Linked DNA regions of Macaca fascicularis. The main gene of each other region encodes a partner of the protein of the gene in region 2 in a complex. Links are inferred from orthologs where the notes say so. Each region holds a gene or a part of one and is shown on either strand. Other genes may lie near its edges.

Evidence for each region. The genes of interacting proteins can lie anywhere in the genome.
Region 1: CDHR5 (region 2) and ANKS4B share a complex: the UniProt entries of both Homo sapiens proteins name them as parts of the IMAC/intermicrovillar adhesion complex. The link is inferred for Macaca fascicularis from reciprocal best matches to the Homo sapiens genes CDHR5 and ANKS4B.

What each region holds. Positions count from the first base shown.
Region 1 is NC_088394.1:20,667,543-20,675,539, reverse strand, and holds the start of ANKS4B (ankyrin repeat and SAM domain-containing protein 4B), read right to left. Parts: upstream 5,071-7,997; 5' UTR 5,034-5,070; coding exon 4,870-5,033; intron 1-4,869. UniProt on the Homo sapiens protein: As part of the intermicrovillar adhesion complex/IMAC plays a role in epithelial brush border differentiation, controlling microvilli organization and length. Plays a role in assembly of the complex.
Region 2 is NC_088388.1:522,569-530,275, reverse strand, and holds the start of CDHR5 (cadherin-related family member 5), read left to right. Parts: upstream 1-2,555; 5' UTR 2,556-2,595; coding exon 2,596-2,680; intron 2,681-2,770; coding exon 2,771-2,946; intron 2,947-3,216; coding exon 3,217-3,267; intron 3,268-5,997; coding exon 5,998-6,090; intron 6,091-6,237; coding exon 6,238-6,339; intron 6,340-6,445; coding exon 6,446-6,556; intron 6,557-6,642; coding exon 6,643-6,813; intron 6,814-7,501; coding exon 7,502-7,592; intron 7,593-7,707. Other genes in the region: SCT (secretin), read left to right, coding at 349-419, 502-603, 701-793, 967-1,078. UniProt on the Homo sapiens protein: Intermicrovillar adhesion molecule that forms, via its extracellular domain, calcium-dependent heterophilic complexes with CDHR2 on adjacent microvilli. Thereby, controls the packing of microvilli at the apical membrane of epithelial cells.

The DNA of each region.
Region 1 (7,997 bases), on a different chromosome or scaffold from region 2:
ATATTACATTGAAAGAAATGATGTTACCATGTCAATTTAGTGGAGAAAGAGAGAGACTATAACAACTAATTGTGTTGGAACAAATGAGTAGCCACTTGGAGAATGCAGAGTTAGATCATAATTCAGATCTTAAATTCTATAAAGTATTTAAAATAACAAATGAAACTAAAAATGGCACTAAAGGATCAGTCAATATTGAGTCATGACCTCAAAGTTAGAATCACAAAGACTGATAGACTTATATATAAATATATATATTTGTTTACATTTATATTTAAAAATCTGTTGTCAAAAATGTAAACTGTGTATTGTAAAGTAGTTGTAACCTATATGACAAGAGTTGATATTGTTAACTTTCAAAAGCATTTTTATCAAACAAGGAGAAATGTTGAAAACCCCAATATAAAAGTGGAATAAGGTCATAAATACACAGTTCACAAAAGTGGCATTCCAATGGCCAATTCTTTTTAAGCATAAAAAGAATTTTCAACCTCGTCAGTAACCAAAGAAAAGAACATTAAAGCCACACTGATATATCATTTTCTCTTTGTTTTGTTTTTTGAGACAGAGTCTCACTCTGTTGCCCAGACTGGAGTGCAGTGGCCTGATCTCAGCTCACTGCAACCTCCGCCACCTGGGTTCAAGGGATTCAGGAGCAATTTGTGCCTCAGCCTCCTGAGTAGCTGGGATTATAGGCGTGCACCACCACACCACGCTAATTTTGTCTTTTTAGTAGAGATAGGGTTTCGCCATGTTGGCCAGGCTGGCCTCGAACTCCTGGCCTCAAGTGATCCGCCCGCCTTGGCCTCCCAAAGTGCTGGGATTACAGGAGTGAGCCACCACACCTAGCCTGATACATCATTTTGGATCTATCATGTTGGCCAAAATGGATACTCACTTTCTGAAGGACAACATGTCCATTTATACACACACACAGTCTTTAAATTGCACATATGCTGCTATGGTTTGAATGTTTGTGTCCCCTCCAGAATTCATGCTGAAACTTAATCGTCAACGTAACAGCGTTAAGCAGTGTGGCCTTTAGGAGATGATTGAGTCATGAGGACTCTGCCCTCATGAATGGGGTCAGGCACCCTTATAAAAGGGCTTGACACAGGGAATTTGCCTCTTTTTTTGCCCCTTCCTTCCCTTCCTCCATGTGAGGACACAGCCAGAGGGTGCGACAACAAGGTACCATCTTGGAAGTGTAGACAGGGCTCTCACCAGGCACCAGTCCTCCTGGTGCTTTGATCTTGGATGTCCCTGCTGCCAGAATGGTAAGAAATAAATTTCTGGTTTTTATAAATTTCCTAATCTAAGGTATTTTGTTATAGCAGTACAAATGGACAAACACAAATGCAAATTGATTCAGAAATTTCACTTTGGAGAATTTATTCTCAAGAAAATATGGCCGGGCCTGGTAGCTGACGCCTGTAATCCCAGCACTTTGGGAGGCCGAGGCAGGCAGATCACCTGAGGTCAGGAGTTCAAGACTAGCCTGGCCAACATGGTGAAACCCTGTCCCTACTAAAAATACAAAATTAGCTGGGCGTGGTGGTGCATGCCTGTAGTCCCAGCTACTTGGGAGGCTGAGGCAGGAAAATTGCTCGAACCCGAGAGGTGGAGGTTGCAATGAGCCAGGATCATGCTACTGCACTCCAGCCTTAGCGACAGAGAGACTCCATCTCAAAAAAAAAGAAAAAAAAAAACAAAAAACAAAAAAACACACAAAAAAGACAATGTCAGCAAAGATTTATGTACAAGGATAGTCATCACAGCACTTTTCAAACTAGGGAAAACAAACTGTGTGTCCAGGAGAGGGGTTGGCTAAGAAATGTATTTGCTGATTAGAGTCCTACAAAGTCCCTGAAATTTATAGAAGAATATTAAAATGTATTTATACACACTATATTATATATAGAGAGAACTATATACATCTTAGTAGCATGGCATTATAGGACATTTTGTCTTCATGTTTTGTGTGCATATGTAAGGTTTAATTTTCTGGGTTCAGCTCATGTTACTTTTGTAATTAAAGACTAGCAGAACCAAGCTGAGTGCTGTGGTTCACATCTGTAATCTCAACACTTTGGGAGGCTGAGGCAGGAGGATTATTTGAGCTCAGGAGTTCGAGACCACCCTGGGCAACAAAGCAAGACCCTGTCTCTATTAAAAATAAAAAATAAATAAAGACCAGCAGAACAGTTATTGTAAGAGAATATTTCAAGCTTTCACAGGTGAGAGAGAGAGAATACCTAAGCATTACTATTCAAAATGGTCCTCAAATGGAACAAGAGCTCTCTCCTGACTGAGAAGAACCCCACACCCTCTTCTAGGAGGACAAACTCAGTGGCTGACACAGTTTGGATCTGTGAGATTTCATGGGGAACAAATCTCAAATCAAACTGTAATCCACAATGTTGGAGGTAGGGACTGGTGGGAGGCGACTGGATCATGAATGGTTTAGCACCATCCCCCTTAGTACTGTCCTCATGATAGTGAGTTCTCATTAGATCTGGTTTCTAGGACCTCTCCCCTTGCTCTCTTGCTCTTGCTTCTGCCATGTGAGATGTCTTTTCCTTCTGCCATGATTGGAAGCTTCCTGAAGGCTCCCCAAAAGCAGAAGCTCCTATGCTTCCTGTGCAGCCCGCAGAACTATGAGCCGGTGAAACCTCTTTTCTTTATAAATTACGCAGGCCCAGGCATTTCCTTATAGCAATGCAAGAATAGGCTAACACATTGATTTTAAAGTAACTGACATCTTGCAGTTTGTGGAAGGAGGTAGCCTTTCTGTAGATGGAGAAAGCTGGGGAACCCTAGGCTGCATAGAAGAGATGAGATGACTGGAGAAGGCTGGCTGATGGGGATCGATGTGTCTGAGAAAAGAAAGTTTTAATCAGACAAGAGAGATGGGGAAGATCTGCTTCACTCACTTCCTCATTCAATCTTCAACTCGAGAACTCTCCCAATCCTGGGTTCTTCTGACTCTTCCTAAATGTTCCCTACTTTAATAAAGGGTGTCAACATCCAAAACCTGGGACCTTAACCCTCCTTTTTCTTTATCTGCCCACGTCCAGTCAATCATTATTGATTCTACATCCAAACTGCCACTCAAATCCAACTATATCTTCCCATTCCCAATGTCACTACCCTAGTCCAACTCATCTCAACCATTAAAACATCCCCAAACATTCTCTCCGACTGTTATCCATCTACCTCAGTGAGTTTTGTAAACATAAATCTACTCTGGAAGCTTCCCTGCATAAACCTAAGACATGGCTTCCTGGGCCCTTAGGATAAAGTCCTTACCAGAGTTGACAAGGCTGTTTGTGATCTGGTCTTATCTCTCACACTTGCCCTGACCCCACTCCTACTCGAGCCATGTCCAGCCATACTCAGCTTCTCTAGTTCTCAGGACACAGTTTTCCATCTTAGGGAAAACACTCTTTCACCTGGCCAACTTGTTCTCATTTTCCTAATCCCAGCTTAAATGCTTTCCCCTTAGGGAAGCCTTCCCTCACCCCTGAGATTGAGGTAAATGCCTGTTTAGTACCCTCTGTTTCCTCTTTTGTAACAAATATCATAGATGAACCAAGCACAGTGGCTCACATCTATAATCCCAGCACTTTGGGAGCCCGAGGCTGTCAGATCACTTGAGCTCATAAGTTGAAGACCATCCTGCGCAACATGGCAAAACCCCATCACTACAAAAAATACAAAAATTGCAGGGCATGGTGGCGCACACCTCTAGTCCCAGCTACTTGGGAGGCTCAGGTGGGAGGATCACTTAAGCCTGGGGCTCAAGGCTGCAGTCAGCTATGATCTCGACACTGTACTCCAGCCTGGGTGACAGAGTGAGACCCTGTCTCAAAGCAAACACACGCACGCGCACACACACACACACACACACACACACACACACACATCATAGATGCCTTGTCTTCCTCTCTCAAATCTGATCACTACGACAGGGATTGTGGCCGTCTTGTTGATCACAGTGTGCCCAGTGGCTAGCAAAATATCTCTTAAGAGATAAGTAGCTGGCACATAACAGATACTGAATAAATGGGTATATTGAATTGGATTCACCTGGCTCCTTTATTTACCTTGCCCTTTTCTCTTTCTTTACCCTCTTGCATTATGGTTGCCAACACAACCTAGCCCTCTGATAACAGGCAGAACAAGCAGAGGAGTTGGCTGACTCCTCCATTAAAATCTGGGCAAAGAGATGGTGTGTGTGTGTGTGTGTGTGTGTGTGTGTGTGTGTGTCTATCCACTAGCCAAACAAGTGATAGAGCTAAGACAGGCTAAAGATTCCTTGTAGAGCCAGCAACTCCACTCAAAAGAGCAAGACCCTGTGTCAAAAATAAAAAATAAAAAAAATCATGAGCTTGCACTGGGATTGAAAGTTAATAAAAGACTGTGGGATTTTGATGGCATAGATAAAAAAACAAACAAACAAACAAACAAAAAACTAAAAACTCATTTGTTCCAACCAAGGTTGACAACTTAAAACCAAGTAAAATAATGGCCTCTTTTAAAAGAGAAAACTGTTTAAATTTCATGAAAAGCATTTTTAAAGGCATAGAATTAAAATATCTTCCCTCTTCCCCATGCAGATAATGCCTTAGAGTTCAGAGTCTCTCCTCTGATTGGGGCTAAGGGATGAGCCACTCCCATATTGCCAGACCTCAGTGAGAAAAGAGAGCATCTCTAGGCATAGTTTTCTCTCTTTCTCTAAAAATCCAATCATTTAGACAATCTAGAAAGAGGATAAAGTATTTGTATTGACATCCCTGACTCTTGCTGCTATCTGCAAAAACCTACTGTGAACACTGTTTCCAACGGAAACCATCGGGTTGAACTTACCCTCTACTGCAGATTATCTCTAGGGCTTCCAGGTTCCCATGGTAGGCTGCCAAGAGAGTGGGAGTCATGCCATCTTCATCTGAAAGATTTAGATCTCGCTTGGTAGCCTCTTTTAGAAGTTCCAGGTAACTATCACTAGCAGCTTGGTGGTAACGAGTAGACATTTTTCCTGCTCACCGGAACTTGGCCAGATGTCTCTCCAGGCAGAGAAGGGTGTTGGCGGAGCAACCTTCCTATAGAGCTGGTTAATTAGTGACAAGGAAGAGTGTCACCAGGGGCAAAGCTCATTCCAACTGCTTCCTTCCGTGGAAGGCAACAAGGTTCAAGCCACTGAACTTGGACCTTTTCTCTCTGAAATAGACATGACGTTGACTATTGAAGACTGCTGTATTCATCTTGAGTGTTTTGAGGCACATTTAATTTTTCTATGCCCATTAGTTTCTTGAGTTAATATTGGCCATCTAGGCACAGGATGTAAGAAATTATTTCTTAAAAAAATGCAGAGCTAGTGTAGTTCACTAGCTGTTTTTTCCAAAAAGAACAGCTTTATTGAGGTATAACACCATTAAATTTACCCATTTTATGTATACAATTCAATGATTTTAGAACATTTATAAAGTTGCATGCCCATTATCATAATCCCGTTTCCATCAGCCCTTAAAGATCCCTCGTGCCATGTGCTGTCAATCCCATTTCCACTCCCAATCCCAGGAAACCACCAGTCTTCTTTCTGTCTCTATAGATTTGTTTTCTATGGGCATTTCAGATAAATGGAATCCTACAATACATAGTCTTTAGCGTATAGCTTGTTTCAATTCACAACTTTTTTGAGGTTTGTCATGTATAGCGTGTAACAGTAGTGTCTTTCTTCCTTTTCACTCCTGAATAATATTCCACTGTACTAACATACCAAATGTTCTTCATCCATTCAATGTTTCATGAATATGATGAATATTTGAGTTGTTTCCATTTTTTAGTAATGATGAATAATGCTGCTATGAACACTGACATACAAGTCTCTGTGTGGACACATATTTTCATGTGTCTTGCGTATACATCTAGGAGCAAAATTGCTGGGTTGCATGGCAATTTACATTTAAATTTCAGAAGTTGCCAGACTGTTTTCCAAAGTTGCTGTACTACTTCACATTTCCACCAATAACATATGAGGGTTTCAATTTCTCTACATCCTTACCAGCCTTATTATTGCCTATCTTTTTGTTTATGGCCATCCTAGTGGATGTGAAATGGTCTTATTATGGCTTTAATTTTAAATTCCCTAATGACTAAGATATTGAGCATCTTTTCATGTGCCTATTAGCCATTCTTACATCTTCTATTCAAATCTTTTGCCCAATTTTTAATTGGGTTGTCTTATTAATAAATTATAAGAATTATTTACATACTCTGGATACAAGTCCTAGATCAGATATATTTGGAACAGAATGAAAATGAAAATTCCATATATCAAGATTTATAGGATGCAGTTAAAGAAAAGCTTAGGGCAAAATTTGTAGTTTTTTATGCATATATGAGAAAGAAAAAAGATCTCAAATCAATAACTTAAACTTATTATCAATAACTCAAGGGAAGGAGAAAAAGTATAGAAAAATGACTATAAGGAGTACAGTATAAGACCAAAAACATTTCCAGATCTATCTGCAATAAAAACAAAAGAAAATGGACTAAATTTATAGTGTGGAAGACTCAGCCATGTCTTGTTTATAATAGACACATCTAAAATATAAAATTGCAGAAAGATTGAAAGCAAAAGATGGAAAAGTTATAGCAAGCAAATACTAACAAAACATTTGTGTACCCATACAGATGGTCTGCAACTTATGAGAGTTTGACCTAGTTTTTCAACTTCATGATGGTGCAAAAATGACAGGAATTTAGTATGCTTCTCAGCTCACAACTGAGTTATTATATCAACTTATGGTGGTTTTGCATTGTAAGTTGAAGATCACCTGTACTGGTAGCAAGGAAAAATACAGCTTAAGCCAAAAGATGTACTAGGCATAAAGAGAGAGAATACATGATAATGAAAGGAACAACTAATCAAGAAACCATGATCGTTTTAAACTTGTATAAATTGAATAACATAGCTGCACAAAAGGGAAAGCAAAAATTAAACAGAAAAAAAACAAAACCACAATCATAAGGGAAGATTTCAGACATCATCATCATGTTCTATATCAGACTAAAAATTGGTATAGCTATAAAATATTTTGGCTGGGCCCGGTGGCTCACGCCTGTAATCCCAGCACTTTGGGAGGCCGAGGGGGTGCGGATCACGAGGTCAAGAGATCGAGACCATCCTGGCCAACATGGTGAAACCCCGTTTCTACTAAAAATACAAAAATTAGCTGGACGTGGTGGCACATGCCTGTAGTCCCAGCTACTCGGGAGGCTGAGGCAGGAGAATCGCTTGAACCCGGGAGGTGGAAGTTGCAGTGAACCAAGAGAGCACTACTGCACTCCAGCCTGGTGACAGAGTGAGACTCCATCTCAAAAAAAAAAAAAAGATTTGAACACAATTAACAAGCTTGATCTAATAGTCACATGAAGAAGGGACACCATGCCCAATAGTAAATGCAAGTTTTTTCTAAGCACACATAGAATATTTATAAAACCTGACCACTGAATAGAAGCAGTGCAGTTCTCAACAAATAACAAATAACAGGGTTCATGCAAACCATGTTCTCTGAAGACACTGCAACTAAATTAGAAACCACCATCCTTACATAACTCATCAGCTATGCATATGTTCTTCTGTGGTGTATTTTTTACATTGTTTTCATCAAATACATATAATTTTACGTTACGTCTTTTCCACTCTTTAATCCATCATAAATGTATTCCCATACTGTTGCACAATCTTTAATATATTTGGATAATTGTCCACTAAATTGATGTGAGACATATCTATTTTTGAAGCCTGTAACTGTGTATTCATCTTATCTCTTTTTGTCTAAGTTTTTATTCCAAGATAAATTATTTACTCACTCAGAAAAAGTACCAAGCTTTCATCTGCAATTTCTTCACAATAATAATGAGCGCCAAGGGTCCCTGTTTGTTCCTTTTCCTGGCTTCTAGGTGAACAGCAGTAGAAGCAGCCTGGAGGG
Region 2 (7,707 bases):
TTCCCGGGGTCCCCCAGTCCCCCCAAATCCTCCCCCAAGTCCCACGGCCCCTCCGTCCCCGCGCCCCGCAGGCTCCGAGGCTTCGCGGTGCGGTTCCCTCTGCGGGTCCCGGCCCGGGTCCCCTTCGCCCCCCAGGCCTGGACGTCCCCCTCCCCCAGCCGGCCGAGGGGCGCCAGCGCGGCGGAGGGGGCGGGAGGCCGGGCCGGGGCGACAGCTGGGGGGGCGGCCCTGACCTTCCCGGGATCGCTGGGCGCGGCCGGGCCGTCCCCCTTCCGGGCGCCGCCATAAAGGGGCCTCGCGGGGCTCTGGCCGTGGCCGCAGCGCTCAGCTCCCGCGCCCGACCCCGCCATGGCCCCCCGGCCCCTCCTGCTGCTGCTGCTGCTCCTCGGGGGCTCCGCCGCGCGCCCCGCGCCCCCCAGGTGAGCCGCCCGCCAGGCCCGTCCGCCCCCGGCCGCACCCGCCCCCCGCGCGGCCCTGACCCCGACCCCCGCCCGCCCCCAGGGCCCGGCGACACTCGGACGGGACGTTCACCAGCGAGCTCAGCCGCCTGCGGGAGGGCGCGCGGCTCCAGCGGCTGCTGCAGGGCCTGGTGGGGAAGCGCAGGTGAGGCCGGGTGGGGCGGGGGTCTTGCCGTGGTGCCCTGGCAGCAACGCGCGACCCCCCACCTCCAGGACTAACTCTGTTTTGGGGCGGGGGACAGCGAGCAGGACGCAGAGAACAGCACGGCCTGGTCCAGGCTCAGCGCGGGTCTGCTCTGCCCGTCCGGGTCCGACACGCCCACCCTGCAGGCCTGGTGAGCGCCCGCCCCACCGCAGACCCCACCCCAGACCCCACCCCAGACCCTTCCTTCTGTCCGTGGCCTCCCTGGGTCAGCGCTGGTGGCCACCGGAGGCCCAATTCCAGCGGCGGGGCCGGGGTCTCCAGCCCCAGCCCCAGCCCCCAACCCCGCACGTGCTGTCTCTGCAGGATACCCCTGGGCGGGGCCTGGTCTCCCTGGCTGCCCCCCGGGCCCAGGCCTGGGGTTATGGTTTCAGAACCTGCCGGTGCTGCTGCAGAAGGAACCCTGCGACCGAGATGAGGAAGGAACCCCCTCACCACCTGCCCAGCCTACGAGCGGAGCTGCATTTGGGGTGGTGGGCAGGCTGGGGGGAGAGGGGGAGGGGTGGAACTCGGCACCAATAAAGGAGAATCAGATCCAGACACTGGGAGTTGGTTGTGTCCACTTGGTGTAATCGAGGCAACCCCTGTGTAGCAGGGCTGTCAGATGGAAGGGGGCCCCATCCACCCAGCCGGGACTGTGACCACACCCAGCTGCCCTTTACACCTGGCGGCCACAGCGGGCCCCTCATCCTTATCTCTGGCATCAGTGCCGCCTCCTGTACATCGACTAAGCACCGCAGGGCCCCGCCCCCCCCTTGTCTTCATTAGGAAACAGTCAAGGGCTCAGGGGGAGCCCGGACAGACTCTCAGCTCCTGCAGGGGGGTGGGGGGTGGCGTGTGGTCAGTGTTTCCGGAAGGGGCAGTGGGGAGGGTGTGGAGGGGCCAGGGAGGCTCAGGCGGGCAGGAAGAGGGGAGGGCAGAGGTGTCACCTGGGGTGCCAGGAGTCCACTCTGGCATGAGGACTCCGGACCCTCTGTCTTGTGTGGCCTCAGACCAGTGGCTTGACCCCTCAGAGCCTGTGGCGTATGGAGCGTGCAGGGCTTGCAGGCGACCATGAGGGTACAGTGCAGGGTTGGGACACTGAGCCCAGCCCCAGCCACGAGAGGCCAGAAGCTTCGGTGCACAGGCCTGGAGAGGAATGACTCCACTCCCCGCCTCACGACAGCCCCTTCCTCGCCCTGACCCCAGCCAGTGGCCTCTCCCTAGAGCTGGGGGCTTGCGGGGGCCAATGAAAAGAGCAGGGCAAGTGTCAAGACTCACCTCACCCCCTCTGTTGGGCACCAGGGCTCCCCAGGAGCTCCCAGCTGCCCCCCACAGCCCCGCCTTAGCCTTGGTCACTAAGGCCCTGTCCAGCCCCACCCTGAGAAGCTGGCTTGTCTCTGGGGCAGGCAGGCAGGGGTGTCCCTAGGACACAGTGAGGAGAGTCTCCTCCTTCAGAACCTGCCATCAGGCAGGCAGGGAGGTACTCCCGGGCGAACACCCAGGTTCTGAGCCTCAAGGGTTGGCCTTAGGAATTTTGCCTGAGGTAGAGCTTAGGGGAGGAGCCAAGCAAGGGCAGCCTGGGCTAGGGAGGCAGGTTTCAGACACCCCAACACCAACGGCTTCTCTCCAACACCCTAGCTCTGCCCCTGCCCTGCCCCAGCCCCATGGCGCCCGTGAGCCATTCTCTAGTCCTTTCTGCCCTGTGCCTCAGTGCCTGTGGCCTGAGCCCCCTGGTTAATCCCTGTACTCAGTCTAACTTGGGCCAAATGACTGCCCCCCTTCTGGCAGTGGGCCGGACCCGCCGGCCAGCGGGAGCCCCCTTGGCAGAGGCCGGTTGTAAAGGATCATAAAGTGGGCGGCGTCTGGCTGGGGCGAAGGTCGCTGAGGTAGGAACTGCGCCAGTCCTGGACGCCAAACCCACTCGGACCCTCCCGCCAGGTGACAGCCGCCAAGATGGGGTCTTGGGCCCTGCTGTGGCCTCCCCTGCTGCTCACGGGGCTGCTTGGCCGATCCCCGGGGGCCGTGGCCCAGGTCCAGTGTACGTGCGGGCAGGGGTAGGTAGGTGGGGGCACAGGGCAGGGGGAGCCAGGGGCTGGGAGGCGCTGACCCCTCCTCTGCAACCTTACAGACTGCTCTGTGAACAAGTCCTTCTTTGAAGTCGAGGAGAACACCAATGTCACCGAGCCGCTGGTGGACATCCATGTCCCAGAGGGCCAGGAGGTGACCCTCGGACCCTTGTCCACCCCCTTCGCATTTCGGATCCAGGGAAACCAGCTGTTTCTCAACGTGTCTCCTGATTACGAGGTGTGGGCGGGAGGTGGGTGGGGAGTGGGGGCTCCCGGGAGAAGGGTGCCTGGATCCTCAGGCCACACCTTCCCCGGGGGGCCCAGGAGTTCTATGCCTGCAGGCATCCACTAACACCCATGCTTGGTGGTGCCTGCCCCAGGAGGCTGGGCCCACACCCTCAGCACTGACCACTGATGATGGGGACCCTGGGCCAGCGCCTGCCCCCTTGGCCTCAGTCTCACCACCTGTGGGGCGGGACAGTGACTGCAGACCCGTCTGCCTCCACAGGAGAACTCACTACTTGAGGCTCAGCTGCTGTGTCAGAGCGCAGGCACACTGGTGAGTCCCTGCCCCACTCTCCCCGCCCACCAGGCCACCTCAGCTGGGCTCTGCCCTGCCGGTCCAGGGCCAGTCTCTGATGACCTCACCTAGGGTGTGGTTTCACATGCCATCCCTCCGAGAGTGATGCTCACATTTCCTCCAGTCCAGACTCTGCCCTGAACTGTGGCGTCCCCGTCACTGATCCCTTGTCCAGCAGATACCCCCACCCAGTGTGCCCAAGACTCCCACCCACTCCCTCAACCACCACTGCCCCCACAAGGGAGGCACCTTTATCCTGCCAGCCACTGGAACCACTTTGGTTTCCACTCGCCCTCCCTCCCCACGTCCCCCGCTAAGCTCCCCATTGGTAAATCACTTGGCTCTGCCCCAGCTCGACCCAGAAATCCATCGTCTGCCCACCTCCAGTCCCACCAGGGCCGGGACACCAGCACTCATTTTGGGAAACTTTCAGCCGGCCCGCTGGCTTCCCTGTTGCCCCTTGCCAGTCCCAGTCCACTCCATGTGGCGGAACAGCCTCTGTGGACGCTGTAAACCAAGGCTGCCCAGTCCACCCCAGCCCTCCACAGCTCCTTTCTCACTGAGAGTCAAACCCAGATGTACTGTGCGGAGGCTCTGCTGCAGCCTCAGAGCTCCCGCAGGCACGCTCCTCCCCCACCTGCTCAGGTCTGCAGTCTTCAGAGAAATCCCAACCGCCCTATTAGGGAATAGTTGCATCCCAGCCCCGCTCCCCCGACATCCTACTTCTTGACCAGCGGCATTTTTTTCAGCTTTATTAAGGAAAATTGCAGAATCCTGAGGCCAGCACAGGCCCCCGCCCCCCCCACACACCTACCAGCAGACAGAGGGCTCTGTGCCCACCGCACACCACAGCACATCACCCACATATATCTTGGCATGTGTCTCTGAAAGAGAGGGATGCTTCTTTTTTTTGCGACAGAGTCTCGCTCTGTTACCTAGGTTGGAGTGCAATGGCGAGATCTCGGCTCACTGCAACCTCCGCCTCCCGGGTTCAAGTGATTCTCCTGCCTCAGCCTCCCGCGTAGCTGGGATTACAGGCGCCCACCACCACGCTTGGCTAATTTTTGTATTTTTGGTAGAGACAGGATTTCACCATGTTGGTCAGGCTGATCTCAAACTCCTGACCTGGTGATCCGCCCGCCCCAGCCTCCCAAAGTGCTGGGATTTCAGGCATGAGTCACTGTGCCTGGCCGGGATCCTTCTTTTTTTTTTTTTTTGAGACGGAGTCTCGCTCTGTCGCCCGGGCTGGAGTGCAGTGGCCGGATCTCAGCTCACTGCAAGCTCCGCCTCCCGGGTTTATGCCATTCTCCTGCCTCAGCCTCCCGAGTAGCTGGGACTACAGGCGCCCGCCACCTCGCCCGGCTAGTTTTTTGTATTTTTTAGTAGAGACGGGGTTTCACTGTGTTCGCCAGGATGGTCTCAATCTCCTGACCTCGTGATCCGCCCGACTCGGCCTCCCAAAGTGCTGGGATTACAGGCTTGAGCCACCGCGCCCGGCCTTTTTTTTTTTTTTAGATGGAGTCACCCTCTGTCGCCCGGGCTGGAATGCAGTGGCACGATTTCCGCTCACTACAACCTCTGCCTCCCAGGTTCAAACGATTCTCCTGCCTTGGCCTCTACCCACCTCGGCCTCCCAAAGTGCTGGGATTACAGACGCCTGCCACCACACCCAGCTAATTTTTGTATTTTTAGTAGAGACGGGGTTTCACCATGTTGGCCACATTGGTCTCGAACTCTTGACCTCAGGTGATCTGCCCGCCTCGGCCTCCCAAAGTGCTGGGATTCCAGGCGTGAACCACCACGCCTGCAAGGACTCTTCTTTTTAAAACATAACCACAATGTCGTCACACCTGGGAAAAGTGGTCACTTTCTACCTCGAATGTTCAGGATGCCGCATTCCCCATGGTCTCTGAAGGGTTTTTTTTAACAATTGTTTGTTTGAATCAGGGTCCACGTTATGTACCTAGCTGATAATTCTCCTGAGTTTCTGTTCATCTTCACGTTTCCTTCTCCCATCTTTTCTCTTGGAGATTTATTTGTGAAGAAACTGGGTTGTCGGCTGGGCACGGTGGCTCACACCTGTAATCCCAGCACTTTGGGAGGCCGAGGCAGGCACATCACCTGAGGTCGGGAGTTTGAGACCAGCTTGACCAACATGGAGAGACCCCGTCTCTTCTAAAAATAAAAAATTACCCGGGTGTGATGGCGGCGCCTGTAATCCCAGCTACTCGAGAGGCAGAGGCAGGAGAACCGCTTAAACCTGGGAGGCAGATGTTGCAGTGAGCCAAGATCACGCCACTGCACTCCAGCCTGGGTGACAGAATGAGACTCTGTATCCAAAAAGAAAACAAAGAAAAGAACTGGATTGTCTTTCCTCGCTTGAGATTCTGCTGGTTGCATCCCCAAGTACCTGCATTATTTTTCTGTGGCGCACCTGCCACCTCCTGGCTTTATAAAGTCCTTTTTGTCTGTTGTTGTAAGTCCTGCCAGGACAGGCACCACCGGGCAGAGATTTGTCTCTTGTGATCTCTGCATCCCAGCACCTAGAGCTGTGCAGCCCCCCTGCAGCCCCCCAACACCACTGAGCGAGTGGACGGATAGCTGTCGAGGGGTGCACCTCACTCACGATGGGGAAGGATAGCGTCGAGGGGTACACCTCACTCATGATGGGGAGCGGCTGTGGGAGAGGCTGACGGCCACATCCTGCAGGTGACCCAGCTGAGGGTGTTCGTGTCAGTGCTGGACGTCAATGACAACGCCCCCGAATTCCCCTTTACAACCAAGGAGATAAGGGTGGAAGAGGTGAGGCCAGCGAAGCTGCCAGGGCTGGGCAGGGGGTGCGGGAGCCCAGGGTGAGGGCAAGGGGCGAGTGGTGGCCGGGGGCTCAACCACAGCGGGGGTCCACAGGGGCCAAGAGTGTGGCCAGACCAAGCCCCTCTCCCTCCCTAGGACACTAAAGTAAACTCCACCGTCATCCCTGAGACAGAACTGCAGGCCAAGGACAAAGACAAGGATGACCTTCTGTTCTACACCCTCCAGGAAGCGACCGCAGTCAGTGCCGCCTGCCCTGCCCCAGCGTGAGCCCCTCGCCACTGACACCCGCAGCCGCCCTCGCCCTCCCAGGCTCTTAGGCTGTGTCCTCCCTGATCCTCCCCAGGGTGCCAGTGACTACTTCTCCCTGGTGGGTGTAAACTATCCCGCCCTGAGGCTGGACCGGCCCCTGGACTTCTACGAGCGGCCCAACATGGCCTTCCGGCTGCTGGTGCGGGTGAGCGGCTCACCCCAGCCCTGAGTCCCACATGCTTGAGGTCCCCCTGGCCCCAGCTGCTCCCAGGCCTGATCTGGCTGTTGCAGGACACTCCGGAGGAGAATGTGGAGCCCAGCCACACGGCCACCGCCACGCTGGTGCTGAACGTGGTGCCTGCCGACCTGCGGCCCCCCTGGTTCCTGCCCTGCACCTTCTCAGACGGCTACGTCTGCATCCAAGCTCAGTACCACGGGGCTGTCCCCACGGGGCACACACTGGTAATGGGGAGGGAGGGGCAGTGCCCGGGGCGGGGCCTTCTAGGCAGGTTGGAGGCAGGGACGGCCAGGATCAGAAGAAGGGCAGGGTCAGGGTCAGCGGGTGGGGCCAAGTTTGGTTGTGACTTTGAAACAAATACAGACTCTCCTTATAAACCAATCTTTCCCATCTTGAGGGAGCAAACCCTGAACACACAGAGAGGAGTGTGGGCCCCAGAGCCAGGCGGTCTCAGGGGCCTGGGGAGGTGGGCTGGGGCCCTGGAGTTCTTAAGGGATGGTGAGATCTCTGCCCTGCTCACAGTCACCACTAGGCCCACACAGGCTGTCTGCAAACCTTCACAGCACCAAGGCACCCGGGGCCACCAAACAGCACATGAGAGGCAGAAACGCAGACCCCGGGAACCCCCCGCTTCCTAAATGTCTGCTTAGCCGTCAAGACAAGCATCGTGCAAATGGCACTCAGTATCTTTGGGCAACTTATTCGTTAGTGAGGGACCCACAGGGGTGTGACTCACTGTGATACTGGGACAAGGGACAGTCCTAGACAGGCAGGGATGCCCGGCCACCAGCGGGACTGGGCCCCTCCTCAGCCAGCCCTGCCCTGGCTGACCTTGATGGGGAGCCAGAGGGGCCAGGTTGGGGCCATTCACCCCAGCCTCACGACGTGCCCTCCTCTCCACCATCCTTGAAGCCATCCCCCCTCGTCCTGCGTCCCGGACCCATCTACGCCGAGGATGGAGACCGCGGCATCAACCAAGCCATCATCTACAGCATCTTCAGTGGTGAGTGGGGCCCAGCCCTCAACAATGCCCCGGACCCCTCTCTGTCCCTGTCTCTGTCCCCACCTTGGGCTGGGGAAGCCCCAGGGGCACCTGCCAGCAAGGCAGAGCTGGCTGG